Saccharomyces cerevisiae S288C: one gene and its partners. Changing the gene in region 2 together with the main gene of any one other region gives a genetic interaction. Each region holds a gene or a part of one and is shown on either strand. Other genes may lie near its edges.

Region 1 (3,830 bases), on a different chromosome or scaffold from region 2:
ATTTATATTTTGGCATTACTCTTCATCATTTTTTTCCCTCTAAGAAGCTTCCTTTCTTTTTATAAGGATAACAAAACCAAAAGGAATATTGGGTCAGATGAATGGACGCGAATGCAAGACAGAAGTCCAAATCACGTCAAGACAAAGAAAGAAAGAAAGAAAAACTAACACATTAATGTAGTTTTAAAATTTCAAATCCGAACAACAGAGCATAGGGTTTCGCAAACAAACTTAAATATATGCTAGAATAAAAATTAACTATCATCTATTGACTAGTATTCATATATGACGTAATAAAATGAAATGTAGATTCATTTTGTAGATTCCTATATCCTCAGAGAGAATTTTTGGTATATCCTATATGCATAATATTATAGTCTTTGCCAACAATCGAAACCAAACATATATCTTAAAATACACCACTTTCTCAAATAAATTCGTTAAATAACGGTGTGTTGAAATGTTTACCGTAACTTGTAACAGCTCTAACAACTCATACCTGCTATGTACTGATTCCAAGAAAAAAAAAATGGAAGGTCGGGATGAGCATATACAAGCACTAAGAAGAACAATACAGAACTCTACACGGTATTATTGTGCTACAAGCTCGAGTAAAACCGAGTGTTTTGACGATACTAACGTTGTTAAGAAAGTAACTTGTTATCAAACTCATTACCAACTTGTGATTAATTGGTGAATAATATGATAATTGTCGAAATTCCATTGTTGGTAAAGCCTATAATATTATGTATACAGATTATACTAGAAATTCTCTCGAGAATATAAGAATCCCCAAAATTGAATCGGTATTTCTACATACTAATATTACCATTACTTCTCCTTTCGTTTTATATGTTTCATTCCTATTACATTATCGATCTTTGCATTTCAGCTTCCATTATATTTGATGTCTGTTTTATGTCCCCACGTTACACCGCATGTGACAGTATACTAGTAACATGAGTGCTACCGAATAGATGACATTTTAGACTTTCATTCCAACAACTTGGTTGACAGAATGTTACGTACCCTATATCTAATCTATATGAGGCCTGAATCTAACTGAAAGGTGGAATTTCAGTAATTTATCAAGCTTTAATAAGTTTGGGTAGTTTAACTGTGCAAAAAGGTATTTACCTTACATACTGAATCTTGTCTGTTTGGTAGCGGCTGCTTTATGGGTGTTTCATAGATGTCCAAAATATATTGAGATATTGAGATATAACATTCTAGGATAATCAAAATTACCATAATTCAAAAGCTCGTATGGCGCAGTGGTAGCGCAGCAGATTGCAAATCTGTTGGTCCTTAGTTCGATCCTGAGTGCGAGCTTTCTTTTTTAGACTACTAATTTTATTTTGCTAGTCATTTTTTTTTTATACTCAAAAAGTAAAAAGACTACGAGTATATTCAAAGTAAAAAACGAACGTCAAACTATCTCGATTAAAACTTGTCATACTGTGGGTATCATATTCTGTGCCCTCAGTGAAAAGAACCAGCAAAAGAACGCGCATCTCGAGTGAAGACGCGCCCTTGATGGTACAAAATTTAACGGGAAGGCGCGTCGTGATGTTCACGCGCTTTGCCCACATTGGGATAGCGCCCACAGCATATCTGTGCTAAACTCACTTTTCCTAGTGACTGCCGATAGCTACTGCCATCTACCGCGAAGGGAACTTCATTTGCGTTCATCGGTTTATTAGAAGCTACTTGGAACTAATTCTTAAGCTTCTCAAGAAAAGTTTTTTTTCTGTCTATCTATTGAAGTCTTTTTGTCTTTGTACTTCAAGAGACTCAATCACCTAAAGCTTTTCACGGCCAATTAGTTGTCTCACACAAAGCAAAATAAGCTTAATAATTAGCAGTAACGCGCTTTTCCCTGTATTTAAAGCCGCTGAACACCTTTACTGAACAATGGGAGAGAACCACGACCATGAGCAGAGTATTAAAAGAAATTCTATGATTTATAATGAAAATGAGAGGCAGTTGTGCAATTCAAACCTAAAGATTCTTCAAAATAAAAGGGCCCTTTCAAAAAATGACAGCTCTAGTAAGCAGCAGGTTCAGGATTCTAAACCAAGAAGGGCTTTAACAGATGTACCAGTGAACAATAATCCTTTAAGCCAGAACAAGAGAATAGTAGCAGGGAGCAAGGCGGCCAAAGTACGAAGAGAAGAAAACATTAGACCTATTGTTAGCGCCGTTCAAAAAAGACAGATATATAACGATCGAACGGCAGCAGAGCAAGAAGAAGAAGAAGAAGAAGAAGGAGAAGATGATGATGCTGCTTCGATAGTGAACAAAAAACGCAGAATAGACGCTGAAGGAGTGAGTGAAATAGTAGGCTGGCAGGACCTAGATTATGTTGAAAAAGATGATACTGCAATGGTAGCAGAATATTCTGCTGAAATTTTTGCATTTTTATATAGAAGAGAATTAGAAACGTTACCATCGCACAACTATTTACTCGACAAAACGTCCAAGTATTATTTGAGGCCTTCCATGAGAACAATATTAGTGGATTGGCTGGTAGAGGTGCACGAAAAATTTCAATGCTATCCGGAAACGTTATTCCTATCCATAAACTTAATGGATAGATTTTTAGCTAAAAATAAAGTTACGATGAACAAGTTACAATTATTGGCAGTTACCTCACTTTTCATCGCGGCAAAATTTGAAGAGGTAAATTTGCCCAAACTAGCTGAATACGCTTATATCACTGACGGCGCGGCTTCTAAAAACGACATAAAAAATGCGGAAATGTTCATGCTCACTTCCTTAGAATTCAACATTGGTTGGCCCAACCCACTCAATTTCCTAAGGAGGATCTCCAAGGCAGATGATTACGATCCGGTTAATAGAAATATTGGTAAGTTTATTTTAGAGTATGCCTACTGCTGCCACCAATTCATTCATTTACCTCCATCTACCGTAAGCGCAATGGCAATGTATATAGCGAGAAGAATGACCAACAGAAACAAGAACGAGCTATGGAATGGAACACTACAGCATTACAGTGGTGGTATCGATCCAATACACGATGAAGCGTTTCAGTCTCTCTGCATTGATCTAGTCAAAGACATCGCTAGTTCCAAAACTCATTTAGATTCATTGATTTTGAAGTACAAGAAACCAAGGTATGGCTCTGTTTATTTCCAAACTTTCAAGTGGTGTACATCCGAAATGCATAGCAACTTTCAAAATCTATTTAATCTTAAGTAGATTAGTACTAGTAATGCTCATGAATTCGCATACTCTTTACATTTTCTTTTCTTTTTGCTGAACTAAAAGGAAAAAATTTTTTGCATCTATCTATCTATCTATATATATGTATATATAGTTTATAGTGATATGCGTGTTCACTTCAACATATATAATACCACCAGTATTACTACTATTATCATCATTAATATTAGAATTTTTTTTGTTTTTAAATTTATTCTTTTATTTTTATTATTATTATTATCATTATTACTATTAAAAAATTATTATTATTAATGTTATTCCAATGTTAATTATAATAACTATACTGAAATAATTTTAAAAGAAATGAAAAATGAGAAGAAAGCAGCATTTTTTAAGAGACTAAGGTTATGATATTTCCCATAATATCAACATCCGATACTGATGCTTTTCTTTGTCTACCCTCGCTACATGCATCCGGAAACGGTTGAACTGAAATAGAATAAAACTTATGGTACAAATCTGAAATTAAAATTAAAAAATTAAAATTAATGGTGTGGTGTTATTAGTGAGAATAAAAATGGAGTTTTATTTTGGAAATCTTAGGCTTCGAATGATTTTTTATCGTCAGTTTAAAAATAACAGAA
Region 2 (4,348 bases):
TATTAGGTCTTTTAGTTGACTCTTCTCTACCAAAATCAAATTATCTGTCCTCCTCGTAAACTTATGAATTTCATCTTTAGATCGTTTTACTTCTAGGATCGCCCTATCTGTTTTGGTTATATGCACTTTACTACTTTTTTGGCCCATTCGATATATACAAAAGCACCAAGTGGAGTTAATTCAGCAGTCTGTACTATTTTTCCAAACTATCTATGTTTTGTTCTTTTCTATGCGCTATATTGTATCCCACAGATAGTAATTCGATTTTCGGTCTTTCTGCTCTTCGGGGTTCCATTTATGTAGAAATAAGAACGATAGCGAAGAGGGTAAAAGATCACGAATAAAAAACGAACGCTGCGTGACAAAATCGGAGCTGTTGCGACTACCGGCAGGATTGATTGCTAATGTTCTTTATTTACTTCTTTTAGATTTCTATGTAAGCTGCTGGTCCATATACAAGTATGCTTCTTAAGAGAGACTGCGTATATATCTTACGTCATTTATTCCCACAGGTTATTCCAAGTCACATTTTTCCTGACAGCGTTAGAGAACCCCTCATTGTATTTCACCCATATTTTAACCGTTTGATTGCAGTCATCTGCTTGGTTGGTTTCGTCTGATCCAATAGTTTTTTGTGTCTCTTCCAATTCCTGAGTTTGCTTCAATAATCCGTACTGATTCTTGAAAAAGTCGATTGTACTTGAGGAAGAATTTAACCCAGTTTTGACTTTTTTGCTATGCATTTCCTGTGACTGTAGTCTATCCTCAGTCACTTGGTCTATATGCCTTTTCTTGGCCCGGTTTTCCTCAATCTTTGCTAACAGTGAACTCAAATTATTAGCCCGTTTATGTTGGACTTCGTTAATATGTTTAGGATTTAACAATACGACTTCATCGATTGGGGGATCGATTGTTAGGCCACCCCTTACATCAAATCCTTCTGACCGATTTTGGATTAGATTCAGTTGAAAGCTTTTCAGCAATTGAACTAATTCCTCCATGATGGCTTGTTTGAGTTTCAGGTTCCTTATTTTATTAAAATCGGAAGAGATCATCGAATCTAGATATGGTAGTATTTCAAAGATTAACGATTTTCTATCCGTAAAACTTGCCATTAGTGGGGACTGAACCGAGATATGTCTCATAATCAGACTAACTATATCTGAATTGGCTCGTTTTAATTCACGTTGTTCGTATTCACTATTCTTCATTCTAATATCATCTTTGTTTGCGATATCGCCAAACGTTTGGAAGAAGACTAGGGGCACAAGGGCGGAGTAACGTAACAATTCGCCATTATGCGCATACATTGATTGGTACATTAAATCATGGAAAAATAGCCAATCTGAAATGTTTGCTGGCTTTCTTATACCATTGTCGGAATATTTTACGTAGGGAAATATATTAAAACAGCCTTGCAATATCCTGTCAGAGTTACCATTAAGCTCTACTTGGTTTAGCAATTCATAAAACTGCTCCTTTATATCACGATGTGGATCCTTTCTAAACAATTGGTTCACGATTTTAAACCATGATATGGGGGAGTCCTTGTTGGATGACGCCCACGTATTTTTTGCACAAGCAGGTTTATCTGATGCAGAGGAATCTCTTGAATCAACATTCGAGGCCAAGAATTGTAAATTGTTTATACAATTCCTTACGTCACCTTGAGCCAAATCAATTAAGTCATTGATTGCTTTTATAGGAATATTCATGTTTTCTTTATGGCAGATAAGGTTCAATCGCTCTAGTAGGGTAGTATCGGAAGGTCTTTTCACAGCAATAATTTCACAGAATGGTTTCAGCTTTTCCAAAGAAGGAGCATATAGATTATTGCAAATACAAATAATAGGTCGCGTAAGCAATTTAGACCTTTTCTTTTTGCGCTTTTTGTCCTTTTTATCTGGTTGACCGTATAATAGTTTATTAGTGGCTTTAATATCGCTTTGCATAATGTCAACTAAAATTCTAATAAATCCACTCTCAATACTTCCATCAATCTCATCCGCCACTAAGCACACAGGATTTGTATCGAAAGTATGATTGAATAAAAGATTATATATTTTCTCTTTTACCATAGGTCCAGCCCTTTCATCACTTGCATTGATTTCTGAGACAGAAAACCCTGATTGTTTGGCAATAACGTGAGCTACTGAGGTTTTGCCTATTCCTGGTGGCCCGTGCAGTAGTAAAATTTTCTTTGGTGGCCTTTTCAATGGATCGAGTTCCATATCACTGACCTCTTTTTCGGTTGGCAATTTGGGTAATTGCTCTTTAAACACAGCCGGCGTCCATTGTCTCAACCAACCTAACATTCTCCTGTTTGTCTTTTCATTACCAACCAAATCTAGAAATTTTTTAGGACGCCATTTCTCTACCCAGAGTGTGTCGCTACCTATCTTGCCAGTTATAGGTGAAGTCTTTTGTGCGTTAGTGCGGTCATCGCCAGATGCCTCAATTTTGTCTAACAAATAGTTTATATTGATGCCGTACGTGTCGTCTGATCTCCAAACAGTATCTGGGTTAGTGTATAGACTAATATTCCCGGTTGCTAACTTCGCAGGCTTCTTCTTTAATTGAACCGTTTCGCCAGTACTTGATACAAACGCGTGAATATCTTCCTCATTAATACCAATTGCATTATTACCAGGGGCTTGTTCTATATCACCAGTATCAAAAAGGGAACTTCTCCCTAGTGAACCAATGTATGGTGCGGTATCAACCATGATCCCTGACCTTACATCCACCTTTTGGGTCAAATAGTGTACACATTAGGAATAAAATATATGAAATCATGTTTATTTACGTGTTAGATGTTCCGTACAACGCGACTGGCTAGTTCGTTTTTTCCACATTTTTTTTTTCAACGTTGATCAACAATAAAATGGTACATCTTCCTTTGTTTGTGTCTTAAGTGTCCTTTCCTGGTATATCGCTTGACCAGCGCCTGTAGCATCAAACCAAACCTTCATCGCCCTAAAACACAATGGTTACAGTATGTTGTTGCTTTTATTTACTTTTTCTTTTTTTGACATTCATTGTGACAATATTCACATTCTTCAGATAGTTCTGTCTATATGAAGCAAAAATGATATATCAATAAGTTTACTAACAAACACAAGTGGTATTACTATGACTTCACTTTAAATAGCAACAAGAAAAGGAATTTTTAGAATCCTACCCTCAAAACTGTCCTCCAGATGCCTTGCCTGGTACTCCAGGAAATTTAGACAGCGCTCAAGAGAAGGCATTGGCAGAACTAAGAAAACTTTTGGAAGACGCTGGTTTCATTGAACGTTTAGACGATTCAACTTTACTACGTTTTTTGAGAGCCAGAAAATTTGATGTTCAATTGGCTAAAGAAATGTTTGAAAACTGCGAAAAATGGAGGAAGGATTATGGTACCGACACTATCTTGCAAGATTTTCATTATGATGAAAAACCATTGATTGCCAAATTCTACCCACAATATTATCATAAAACCGATAAAGATGGCCGCCCAGTATATTTTGAAGAATTAGGTGCTGTTAACTTACATGAAATGAACAAGGTTACCTCTGAAGAGAGGATGTTGAAAAACTTGGTTTGGGAATACGAATCTGTCGTTCAATACAGATTACCTGCCTGTTCAAGAGCTGCTGGTCACCTAGTGGAAACTTCATGTACAATTATGGATTTGAAAGGTATCTCCATATCTAGTGCATACAGTGTTATGTCATATGTTAGGGAAGCCTCCTACATAAGTCAAAACTATTACCCCGAACGTATGGGTAAATTTTACATCATCAACGCGCCATTCGGTTTCTCTACCGCATTTAGGCTATTTAAACCTTTCTTGGATCCAGTCACTGTTTCAAAGATTTTTATCTTGGGTTCTTCTTACCAGAAGGAATTATTAAAGCAAATTCCAGCTGAAAACTTACCAGTCAAATTTGGCGGTAAGTCTGAAGTTGATGAATCCAAGGGTGGGTTATACCTATCCGATATCGGTCCATGGAGGGATCCAAAGTATATTGGACCGGAAGGTGAAGCTCCGGAAGCCTTTTCGATGAAATGATATTATTTTTAAAGACATTTTTTTTTCGAGAGAGAAAAGAGGAGTTCTAAGTAACGATATTTTACAACTGAGATAAGTACAAGTATGCTTATTTACTCTATTCTACTTTTTTGAATAGGCATAGTTCACACTTTTATCTCCTTAGTTTGTACTACTCTTTTTTTATTTTTTTTTTTTCTTCCACTCAGCTATTAGATTATTTATTATTTTATTATCTGTGGTATCATTTTCTACAGCCATACCTTGATTTTAGTTTATTTTGTTGGCAGTTATATACATTTATCTTATAGA
Region 3 (6,117 bases), on a different chromosome or scaffold from region 2:
TTTGATTCTGATCAAGATACTATCATTCTACCAAACATAAGTACCCCTCCACATGTTGGTGTGACCGCAAAGGGTGCTGAATTCGAACCTTTAAGGAGATATAACTCTCACGAAAGTATACTATCTAACAAACCAGCACCTTCTAAGTCGCTCAATCTGGGAAGTTTCTCCGCCTCATTCTTCAGGCCATCTAATCCGACGTTTGGAACTTCGATATCAAATGTCCAAGTGAACTGTCATCCAACTGTTGCAGCGACAATGGCTCCTAGTCGTAATGGTCCTCGTATTTCAAGTTCTAAGGCGTTGTTATCATCATTCATTGCACGATCAGATACACATACGGTAAAAGAGAACAACACAAATCTTAAGCATGCATCTTTTATGGATAAGTTTAATTCATCGTTAAGCACAATATCAGAATCTTTTCAAAGTAAGAGGGGGAGAAAGAATAAGGGCATGAATGAAGAACGAATATCAAATCATAATGTAGCACAGGAACAAAAAAATAATATGGATATAAGCGTCTCTATAGAAGAATTGCAAGATGCTTTGAATACAGAACTGCTGTTTTAATTAATGCCTCCTTTACCTAACCTACTCTTCTTTTGCTCCAAATGTTTATTCTTTTTTTTTTTATTCAGAATATCTTCAAGTTTTTTTGTATCTTTTTGTATTATTATTAAACTTCTTTATAATATTTGTCTTATAAAATCCTATCATAACATGACTATGGCTTGGCCTAGACTCGGGTGCCATCTTTTTTAATGCGACTACTTCAAGACAGCTTCTGGAGTTCAATCAACTTCTTCGGAAAAGATAAAAAACCACTAATTATCAAAGCTATCTTGTCCGCTTTCAAAAAGTTTATTCGATTTTGTTTTCGTTTTCATTTTCATTTTTTTATTATGATGGTCATGGTGGTAGCGGTGGCTCCCTTCAGTTTTCCTCTTTGGTGCTATTAATTTTCTCGTTTTCCCCATATATGTGATAGAAGCTTTTGAACTCCCCACTGTCTTGTAAGACTTTAGAATCTTGACTGTCTTGTTACCTTCTTTAAACTTATCATTTATGTCTGTTCTGGACGCAAAGGATTTGATTATTGATGGATGTTTGAAAACGCCAACTAGTGATGTATCTCCATTTTCCACCTCATCTTCATCCTCTGGGCGCTTTTCTAAGTCAATTATTGTGTTTACTGTTTTTGAAGTGGTCGAATCAGTTTGAGAATTTGTGAATGACTTTATCGAACTATTCTGTTTTAGGGTATATAAATCTTCAATTGCTTCATCATTGCCATGTTGTATCCTTGATAGCTCCTTATCCGTTTCAAAATCCTCATAATTATTACTTTTTAGGAAGGATAAGCTTTTCTGCACAAAGTCTTCAGATATGATAACCTTTTTGTTCTTTTGATCTACAGGTTTCTGTTCATTATTTCCCGTATTATCACCTACATTAATGCTATTGTCCTGAGTATCTAGGTCAGTAGCCGTACTTGTAATGTCTAGGTTATATTCCTCTTCAGCCCCGAAGGGGTTTTTATATTCGATAATATCTTCCACCATACTTTCAAAAAATGCGCTCGACTTTGGGTTTTTAACAAGCTTTGCATCATCGCCAATTTCTAATCTCCTTTTTCTCATCAATTCTCTCCTTTTGAGACGATATTGTTGTAGTACGTCGTCTTCATCATCATCACTTAGTTCTAGCTCTAAGCTATTTTTTGCTCTTTTATTACGAAATCCTCCATTTTTAATGTCATAAAGAATTTTGTTTATCATTTTGATATCCATTTCCTTATTTTCTGCGGCAAGCATTTCTCTGATTTCATGAGGATTGAAATTGTTCTTGGAATAATCATCGATCATTTTTTCTAGGTCAGAATCATAGTCGTCAGATCCTTCTCCATCTGCACCACCGATACCATGCCATTCATCCTCGGATTCTTCGGCTTCCATTTCAAAGAAGTTTGTGACACCTCTTTTCTTCAACTCTTTTATCTTAGCCTCGTGCTCCTTTTCTTTCTGTTTTAGTTGCAATTTCTCTTTGTCAATCAGCTGACGGCGAATTGCTTCATCAGCTTCTTCATTGACGTATACATCATCTTTGACTTCATTTTCGATTGTATTTCTTTCGGCCATCACCTCTTCAATGTTTTGTGTATCTAGAACATTGGTTTCTTGAAATTTGTCGGTATCCTCTCCGATATTATCACCGTAATGGCCCAGATTAATGGCGATCCTTTTCGGTAGACTTTCATCAGCTTTCTCTTTGGGTTTGGCTTCGACTTCGGTATCAGAGTCTGATTCGTTAATGATATGTTTCACGTGGTGGGATTTTTTTTGCTTTAGAATAATTTCATCATCTTCCTTTTCACTATCGGATTCTCTACGATTGTCATTTTCACTACCAGATGATTCATAATCGGCAATTTCATTACCACTCAATGCAAATCCAGAAGACTCTGACCCTGAGTCAGAACCGGAATCATGGGCGTTCAATTGAAAGTCATTTTCTTCAAGTTTTTCCCTTCTCTTCTCTTTTTGTCTGATTCTTTTATTTCTAAGAATTTCTTGTTCTAGCAAGTTCTCTACTATTTCCTTTTCTTTGGCCATATCCTCCAGCTTCAGACCTTTCGTTTCAATCACTTCTTTCTGATGATCCAGAATTTGTTTCCTGCTAGCTTTCCTTAAGGTATTTAATAGTACATTATGATCAACTTTTGGGTCTTTACTTTTATTCGGCCTTTGAGACAACTTTTGATTTTGTTTAGAGAGTCTTGCCTTCAGGTTTAATATAGTCGCCTTTGATAACTGAGAGATTGGCAAAACGCTTTCATCTTTGGATAATTTAATGCTATCCATATCATCATCTCCATATTCGTCACTGTCGCTGTCGAGGTCCAGTGTTATGCATTTCGAGGAGTCAATTTCCCGTTTCAAATTATTAGCATAGGAGCTCAATAGTGGAACCCTTTTCTCATTTATTCTTGTCTCATCAGTTAGATTTAATTCAACACTTTTGTTCTCATGCAGTTCATCGTCATTCTGTACTGGTTTTGGATGTGCATTTTCCAGCTTTATATCATCGTCCTCATTTGAGGACGAATCGTCAAAATCAGCAAGAAAAGACTCTTTAGAAAAAAATTTTTTGGTTGGTATTGGCTTTTGCGGTTTTTTGTATTCGACATTTCTAGCTTTTTCCCTTTTAGAATCTTCTGAAGCCAATTCGCTTTGTATTTCCCGAATTTTTAATGTGTGTGGTACTTCATCTTGAAGTGTTTGTGCGACTGTATCTATTTGGGTTTTCTGTTCCTGATGCGTAGCCTGTGGAATACCAATTGCTTGTGTCTTATCCTCATCATGCGCAGTCTGTGGTGGTACATCCATTTGGGTGTCAGGACCACGATTTTGAATGGACTGAAATAAAGGACTAGTTCCAATAAGTTCCGTTGGAATTATAGGAATTTTCGGCGACAGAGCATTAGAATGATTGCTGGAAGTCGTAATTATTTGGGATTGTGGTTCAATTGATTTTATAGGCTGAGTTTGTGAGGTTGCACCGCTGCTATCTATACGCTGTGTAGCCCCTGGCCGTCCTGTCGTGAGAGGTGTTTTCAGCGCTTGAGAAGTTTCGTTGACGAGACCATCTTCTTTGATTAATTGGGTGGGTTTCCCGTCATTAACGGAATGGATAGGTACGTTAAACACCTTGTCTTGTTGGATGCTGACAGGTATTCTTTGCGTCTGCGTGAATGAAGAAGAGACATTTTTCTCACTGTAACTATTATCTTTAACTTCGGATTTCTCCAGCTCTTCACCACCATCGTAAAGATTAGAGATTAATTGAGTTGGTAACGAATTCTCACTCCTATCTTTTCCATTATTGTGATTCTGTTCGGGTGCTTTCTTGCCTTCTAATCTGTTCTTAACACGATTTAATGTGGCATTGGCAAATAAAAACCCGTTCCCAGTCAACTCTGGCGGATTGTCTATGTCATTGGGCCCATTTCCATTAGTATTATCGTTCTCATCTAGTATGGGAACAGCAACTTTTTTGTAGGTGGTAGTTCTCTTCTTTGCAGTCAACGAGGACAAAGCATGCAAGGCATCATCCATCACTAAAATATTTGGTGATAAGTTCAAAAGCGAATAACGAACTTCCTTAGTTGTTTGTCTGTTCTTGGTTTTTTTCCAACATAATGTGTTTGAAATGCTATTGAAGCAAACGCGTTTTACGCATTCTATCTCTTCATGACGCGTCGAAGAAGGATAAGGAAAATTTCAAGTATTGATGTATATCTCTCTGCATATGAGAGCCAGTAGAGTTGGTGTCCTAGTAAGAATTTCTTTCACTTTACAAACATATCTAAGTAAACGAAATGTGTGTGTGTTTCTATATATATATAGACATATATGAAGGATTCCGTAGCGGTGTAAACTAATTTTGGTTTGGCTTGTATGCTTCTTCTTCCGGAGCTATGAAATCTTTTGCTCTCTCTTCCTGCCTTTCGATTTCTCTTTCCATTTGCTTTTCCTTTTGCTCATTTAATTTCTTCATTTGCTTTTCTCTCTTGCTTAAGAAATACTCACCACTTTCAATTTCCAAATCAACCTTTCTAGGCAATTGGGCAGGAGGAAATGGAGTATAGACCTTCTTTTCGACGTTTCTGATCTTCTTGGGTTTCTTTCTGGCCACATTCCTCTTCTTAAACATGGGCAAGAATCTTGACCAATCTTCATTGGCTAACTCTGGCCTTTTTGCCAATTCTCTTTTTATCATTAATTCCTTGATATGATAGATAGGGTGAATATTTTTCATACAATCTTCTACTACTCGACGGACCTCCTTCAAGCCCTTGAAGGGACCCATGGCACTTACTGTGTTACCTTGTACTAGAATGTAACATTTAGTTAGAAGTTCCAAAGCCTTTAAAGTATTACCGTTAGGGCCTACAAGACGTTGTCTTCTCTTGACAAACCTTTCTTTGTTAGTAACGAAATTACCAATTTTAATAACGTCGCATGCCATGTCATCTTGTAGGATCTTAACGGCTTGCGGGAAAGGAACGGATCTCGCCAATAATTTGATCAAATCTCTGGCTTTCAAAATGATAGCGGGATCGTATGTTTTTCTAGTTGTTTTTACTGTCATAGAACCTTCGACTAAATCTAGAACACACGCTATGTTGTGTTTGTCTAGAGCCCTTGTTACATCATTCCAAATCGTCTTCAAGTAACTTTCTCTGTATTTAGGAAACAAAGTCATAAAACTGGACTCTTCAGCAAAAGGTTGACCGGATGCGTTATCCTCTTCCTTAAACTCCTCTATCTTCCATTTATCAATATCATCCGTATCCCAAGGTTTATCTCTGTTATGTGTAGACACCATCGTTTGCCAATTTGGATATTTGTGTGACCCTTTTGTTTGCTGTCTACTTTACAATAGTTAACCTCATCATCTCTTTTTTTTGAAAATTTTCATATCTCATCGCTAAAAGAATTAGAAATATAAGGAAAAAAAAATTTTCGTTTTCAGATGTGCAAGCCTGCTATAATAAGGTACAATAACTCAAGGGCATTTAGCAAGGAAAAAATGGGCAAGTGTAGCATGAAAAAGAAAGGTGTGGGCAAGAATGTTGGTGTTGGCAAGAAAGTACAAAAAAAGAGGTCGATCAGCACCGCTGAAAGGAAGAGAACAAAGTTACAAGTGGAAAAGTTAAACAAAAGTAGTGAAACAATGATACCGACGCTGCTGCGGGAGGCAAGTACACAAGAGCCAGCTAAACTGAAAGCTGAGACTACTTTGAAAGCCGAGGAGCTGATCAAGGACCAGGAAAAGGACTCCAAGGTACGAGAGCAAATTCGGACAGAAAAATCAAAAACAAACGACAGCATGCTGAAGCAGATCGAAATGATATCCGGCTTTTCCTTATAGGGAATAGTGGTGAAAGTTACGTAAATATATACATATAGAGCGGAATGGTACTGCATATTTTTATTATTTTTTTTTTTGAATATATATAAAGCATCGTCGCTTAAGACTAAACCTTCGAGGATCTGAGGCCAGCGCTGGATCTAAAGATGGCGTCGCCCTCGGCGTAGCCTCTTCCAACAC
Region 4 (6,244 bases), on a different chromosome or scaffold from region 2:
TAATTTTGGCTGATAGAAATTGTTTCTTCAGTGCTAATAGAGAAGGCATCTTCTCATTTCTAGGTTATTGCTCGATTTTTCTTTGGGGCCAAAACACGGGATTTTACTTGTTGGGAAATAAACCAACTTTAAACAATCTTTATAAGCCTTCTACGCAAGACGTAGTTGCAGCATCAAAGAAGTCTTCGACTTGGGACTATTGGACTTCAGTAACCCCATTAAGTGGCCTCTGTATATGGAGTACAATTTTTCTTGTTATCAGCCAGTTGGTTTTTCAATACCATCCTTATAGTGTTTCAAGAAGGTTTGCTAACTTACCATATACTTTGTGGGTCATTACTTATAATTTACTATTTTTGACTGGGTACTGCTTGACTGACAAAATTTTCGGTAATTCTTCGGAATATTATAAAGTTGCCGAATGCTTGGAATCAATCAACTCCAATGGGTTGTTTTTATTTTTGTTGGCAAATGTCTCTACTGGTTTAGTCAATATGTCTATGGTCACGATAGATTCTTCACCCTTAAAATCATTCCTGGTTTTGTTGGCATACTGCTCATTCATAGCTGTCATATCGGTTTTCTTGTATAGAAAAAGAATATTCATTAAGCTATAATAACACACCATCCACATTTCCATGTAGTTCGTATACAAACCCTACCAGTAAAATAAAATTAACTCCTATGTGCTTTAAATAAAAATTATAAACCGCCTCCAATAGTTGACGTAGTCAGGCATGAAAGTGCTACTAATCGATGACTATGATTTCACCGTTGTTTAATTTTGACTTTTTTTTCGCACGTGACAGCTGAGAAAATATATCCATTTGACTTGATGCAGGTTCATTCTTCACCTTTTTGGAAAATTTCTGTGTCTTTTTCATTGCTGCGTCAGCCAAAAACTTAGCATTGGAGATTATTGGACGATTGTCAACTGTAGTGTCATCCGGATTATGTAATAACTCAGCAGCTGTTGTATTTCTGCTGTCATCTTCCTCAAATTCACTCTTCAAATCTATCACTTCCTCCACCTTAACCTTGTCACCTCTCTTAGACTTTCTATTTCGAGTTTTTGGTTTTATTTTTTTCGTCTTTTTCGAGCCCAAAAGCTCTCTCCTCCTTTCTATTGATATGTCATTTAATAACTCCTCATCGGATAGATCTAATTCGTTGTTTATATCTTCTATTAAGTTCGTTGGCTGATCAGAATTACTGCACGCGCTAGAAAACCCAGAAAATTCACTCGACGTAAGCGACTGCCCTGATTTATTGGAGTATTCCGGAGGATGCAGTTCATCAACATTTGACTGGGTTTCTATTCTGAAAGTTCCTGCAGTTGCGAAATGAATATTACGAGTAACTTTGTCCTTCCTCGTAGGTGATGGTCTCATTAAATCATCTGACATGTGGCTCGTCTTATTTGGAGATGCTCCTTTTAACGACCTCGTTGATGATCGTGGTGATATGTCTGTGATGGACCTATCTTCTCTTCTCAGAAAAGGAATATTTTTCCCAGTAGAAGAATGAAACTCCTGCCTACTAGGTACATTAGTTGTTGAAACGTATTGAGGTGCATACACCTTTTTCTTTGTAGGAGAATGGAATGATGTAGTTTCTGGAGCGTACCTTTTTTCTGGACTTTTAACTCTACTTTTAGGAGCGTAATTGCCATTGATTTTGGATGGGCGTGATTTTTCAATAAGTTTCTTCTGTGGGAATATAGAGTTTTGCGTTTCGAGTCGTAACTGGTCCGCAGCTGACGTGAAATCACTAACAGAACCCAATAATTTATTTCTAGACAACTGTATTCCATAGACATCATTCATTTGTATCCCTTGCCAAATCATCCTTTCTCTCCTATTTTCAATGAATTGGTTATAGTCTTTGCGCAATTGGTCAAGGGAGAATAGTTTATCATCTTCAGCAGGCGGCTTTTTGTTCAAAATTCGGTATAGTTTTTTGATACTATTCGTACTTTCAAATAATTTTTGGCTATCGGACATGGCTTTTATCAAGTCAGTAGTCAAAAATCGGCTTGCAATTCTTGGTCTATCGACATCTTCCACAGTTACAGTATTTGATAGGTACAACAGGTATTTTGCACGAGTCTGTGCAACAAAAAACATTCTTCTTTCCTCATCTATAGAATCTTCCACGGATAAAACTCTAGTCTTTTTTGGGCTTGCATCTTTCTTACTATTTTCTTGATCTTCTTCTTCGTCCTCCTCTGATTCGTCTTTCTTATCATCGTTGAACACACAAGGAATTATACCTTCTTCGCATCCAGGAATAAAAACTACCGGCCACTCAAGACCTTTGGCACCGTGAATTGTAGATATCGTGACAAACCCATTCTTCTCACGTTTTATTTTTGCATCTTTATTGGATTCCGACTCTTCCTCCTCAGCTGCATCAGAATGAAGGGAAAGTGAATTGAAGAAATTACGGAGGTATTCTTTTGGAGTGATGACCTTGTTCTCTATTGGTTCGGCTTCATCTGTTGCTGCTTTAATGGCTTCATTTTTTTCTTTATCTGAAGATTCTGACTTGGAAAGAAGAGCCAGGAAATAGTTTTTCAAAAGTTCAATATTCTTATGTCTTGCGTTTAATAAATTAGGTTCGGATTTTTCAAGCTGATCATTTTTTTTCTTACCATCCTTGTACAAGTATTCGTATTTCAGACCTGATAATTCATATAGCTTATCAAATAAATCTGAAAGACCCCCTAGTAAAGTGCTCTGGAGCAACAATTGACAATTTTCTATCATTGAAATGAAGTCAGCAATCACAGAACGGCCTTTCGTCGGTATGTCTAGCATTATTTTTTTACTACTTATGTCTTTCAATATTTGGAAACATGACACATCGGTAGCTAACGTGTCCAATGCGTTCTTAATCTTCTCACCGGTAGCAGGACCAAGGCCCCTTGCTGGATATAAAAGTGAAGCAAGAATTGCATGTTTGTCATTCGGAGAAAATATCAATTTTAATAAATTTAACATCGCTCTTGTTTCCTTGGAATCCCAGAAACTGTGGCCCCTAATAATTTTATAGGGTATCCGATGTTCTATTAATGCACTTTCGATCCTTTTAATTTGTCTTCGTTGTCTTACTAGGATAGCAAAGTCATTAAATGTGAATAGGTTTGGCAATGCCTTCAAATATAGTAGTTCCCGAACTAAAGAAGGTGCTTCCAAAAAGTAAGCGGGGAAATTCATGTAAACTGGTGGAAAATCCAGGTCAAATTGGGCACGGAGTGGAGCCCTATTCTGCCGACCTTTGTTTTGTTGCGTTATTAAAATTTCGCTTGTATTTAGAATTTTTTGTGATGAACGATAATTTTCAACAAGTATGATAGTTGAGTACTCGATGGGACATTTTCTGCCCATTTCTAGAAAGTTGTGCGCTAAGGCGTTTCTGAAAGCATATATGCTTTGATCAGGATCACCTACGATGGTCATCCCCCTCGAAAGATGATGATTTCCCTTAGCAAAAAGAAACATCAAGTCCAATTGAATGCCGTTAGTATCTTGAAATTCGTCAACTAAAACATGCTTTATGTTGGATAAAACACGCACTCTAGTCAGCAAACGAAAGGTGTACATTAATAAGTCATCAAAATCTAACGTATTTTTCTTGCTTAGCTCTGATTGGTATATTTGGTAAAAGTAACCAAGCGCGGCGTCATGATTCGAATCTAAGATGTATTCCTCAGGTAATATTGCGTTTGATTTTAGCTTTGATATCTGTTTCTTGATCAGCTTCGGATGAATAGTCCATTCATCTCCATTTTTACTCGGCATACAAAGATTTACTTTCCTTGTGATTGAGGAAGCATAATCCCTTATTTGGTCGGGAACTTTTTCGATCATATCATCTAAAATGACATCTATTTCCTTCTCATCAATAATTCTCCAGTCTTTCTGTAGATCCACCAAGTGGCCAAATCTATAAAGTATTTTCAGGCAAATACTATGAAAAGTACCAATTAAGAGCTCCGAAATATTCACGCCTGCCCCGCGTAACATTTCTTGCAAACGCTCTTTCATTTCGTTAGCAGCTTTGTTAGTGAAAGTAGTCACTATAATATCGCGGGGATGAATATGGTGGTGCAGAATAAGATACGCTACTCTTGAAGTTAAAACCTTAGTCTTCCCTGTGCCGGGACCGGCAATGACCTGCAGCCCTCTAGTGTAATCAAAGAGGGCCGCTGCTCTCTGTTGAGTATTTAACTGGGATACTAAATGCAACCAAAGATCATTGTTCGACGACATTTGCTATCCCTAAGTACCGGTAGAAGAAAGATCAAATTGGAATGATACTCAAAGTGCAGAGTACAATTATGGATGGCAAAAGAAACTAGAGGGACAGGAAGCTGTCTAAAAGCTGTAGAGAAATATTCTTATCTTGCCGACTGCAAATTTATCGAGACTCTGCGAAGGTAGCCTAAGCAGTAGTATCAGGATAGCTGGAGGTAACTCTAAACTCGCTCCTATTCTTCTTCAGCATCGTTCTAATTGTTGTCACTTTTGTTTGTTTTGGTTTTTTTGGGAGTTTTTCGCATTCGCGTCTCGTTACCCTAGCATGTTTTAAGCGGCGCTATCATTATGGTTGAAGAGAAAGTTGTAGTTTATCAACAGTTAGATACTTGATATACAATACGAAGCAGTGGTTGTGTATACAAGTGAAGTACTCAATGTAATATACATTACCTGAGTACTCAGTACCATCTTGGTTATTCAATATGGCAAAAATGCCTGACCCTATGTATCTTTTTCCATCAAAAATAGCCGCATCTCGTAGATCGTGAGCAGATGTCTTCACTCCTTTCTAGCAGTATAACAAAGCATATTTCTTGTATTTATTTTACCGATTTCTATATATATGACAAGGTTCATGAACAGCTTTGCCAAACAAACGCTGGGATATGGCAATATGGCGACAGTGGAGCAAGAGAGCTCAGCTCAGGCTGTTGATTCTCATTCAAACAACACACCGAAGCAAGCTAAGGGTGTTCTTGCAGAGGAACTAAAGGATGCATTGCGGTTCCGGGACGAAAGAGTTAGTATTATTAATGCAGAGCCTTCTTCAACACTGTTCGTCTTTTGGTTTGTGGTTTCATGCTATTTCCCTGTGATTACTGCCTGCTTGGGTCCCGTAGCTAACACTATCTCGATAGCCTGTGTAGTTGAAAAATGGAGATCCTTAAAGAACAACTCCGTGGTGACAAATCCACGAAGCAATGACACCGATGTTTTGATGAATCAAGTAAAGACAGTTTTTGATCCTCCTGGTATTTTTGCCGTTAATATCATCTCTTTGGTACTGGGTTTTACGTCAAATATTATACTAATGCTACATTTCAGTAAGAAGTTGACGTATCTTAAATCTCAGTTAATAAATATAACAGGATGGACAATAGCTGGAGGGATGCTTTTGGTGGACGTGATTGTATGCTCCTTGAATGACATGCCCAGCATCTACAGTAAGACTATCGGATTTTGGTTTGCCTGTATCAGTTCTGGTCTATATTTGGTATGCACCATTATTTTAACAATACATTTTATTGGATATAAATTAGGAAAATATCCTCCAACGTTCAACCTTTTGCCCAATGAAAGAAGTATCATGGCATACACTGTACTATTGTCTTTATGGTTGATTTGGGGTGCGGGTATGTTTAGCGGTTTATTGCACATCACTTACGGAAATGCATTATATTTCTGCACGGTATCATTATTAACCGTGGGACTAGGTGACATCCTGCCCAAGTCGGTTGGCGCCAAAATCATGGTTTTAATCTTTTCGCTATCTGGTGTTGTCTTGATGGGTTTAATAGTGTTTATGACAAGATCCATCATTCAAAAGTCCTCTGGCCCAATTTTCTTTTTCCACAGAGTTGAAAAAGGCAGGTCCAAATCGTGGAAACATTATATGGATAGTAGTAAAAATTTATCTGAAAGGGAAGCGTTCGACTTAATGAAGTGTATCCGACAAACGGCCTCAAGGAAGCAGCATTGGTTTTCTTTGTCGGTGACTATTGCAATTTTCATGGCTTTTTGGTTATTGGGAGCTCTTGTATTCAAATTCGCAGAAAATTGGTCGTACTTCAATTGTATTTACTTTTGTTTCTTGTGCTTATTAACCATTGGATACGGAGACTATGCTCCAAGGACTGGTGCAGGCCGTGCTTTTTTTGTGATTTGGGCGTTGGGAGCCGTGCCATTAATGGGGGCTATCCTAT

Evidence for each region.
Region 1: mutations in CTF18 (region 2) and CLB5 together harm fitness more than expected from each alone (negative genetic interaction), as found in Saccharomyces cerevisiae (5 studies listed by BioGRID, with this or other methods).
Region 3: mutations in CTF18 (region 2) and MRC1 are lethal when combined (synthetic lethality), as found in Saccharomyces cerevisiae (8 studies listed by BioGRID, with this or other methods).
Region 4: mutations in CTF18 (region 2) and SRS2 are lethal when combined (synthetic lethality), as found in Saccharomyces cerevisiae (10 studies listed by BioGRID, with this or other methods).

The regions. Positions count from the first base shown.
Region 1 is NC_001148.4:773,267-777,096, reverse strand, and holds CLB5 (B-type cyclin CLB5), read left to right. Parts: upstream 1-1,914; coding exon 1,915-3,222; downstream 3,223-3,830. UniProt on the Saccharomyces cerevisiae protein: Required for efficient progression through S phase and possibly for the normal progression through meiosis. Interacts with CDC28.
Region 2 is NC_001145.3:422,003-426,350, forward strand, and holds CTF18 (Ctf18p), read right to left. Parts: upstream 2,727-4,348; coding exon 501-2,726; downstream 1-500. Other genes in the region: ESCRT-III subunit protein VPS20, read right to left, coding at 1-147; phosphatidylinositol/phosphatidylcholine transfer protein SEC14, read left to right, coding at 2,987-2,995, 3,152-4,057. UniProt on the Saccharomyces cerevisiae protein: Essential for the fidelity of chromosome transmission. Required for the DNA replication block checkpoint.
Region 3 is NC_001135.5:17,989-24,105, forward strand, and holds MRC1 (chromatin-modulating protein MRC1), read right to left. Parts: upstream 4,119-6,117; coding exon 828-4,118; downstream 1-827. Other genes in the region: VAC17 (Vac17p), read left to right, coding at 1-573; ribosome biosynthesis protein KRR1, read right to left, coding at 4,441-5,391; FYV5 (Fyv5p), read right to left, coding at 5,535-5,993; ADF1 (Adf1p), read left to right, coding at 5,596-5,937; MIC10 (Mic10p), read right to left, coding at 6,044-6,117. UniProt on the Saccharomyces cerevisiae protein: Required for normal DNA replication. Phosphorylated in response to DNA replication stress. Phosphorylation allows it to mediate the activation of RAD53.
Region 4 is NC_001142.9:255,453-261,696, reverse strand, and holds SRS2 (DNA helicase SRS2), read right to left. Parts: upstream 4,275-6,244; coding exon 750-4,274; downstream 1-749. Other genes in the region: GWT1 (glucosaminyl-phosphotidylinositol O-acyltransferase), read left to right, coding at 1-617; TOK1 (Tok1p), read left to right, coding at 4,885-6,244. UniProt on the Saccharomyces cerevisiae protein: ATP-dependent DNA helicase involved in DNA repair at least for UV-induced lesions. The polarity of the helicase activity was determined to be 3' to 5'.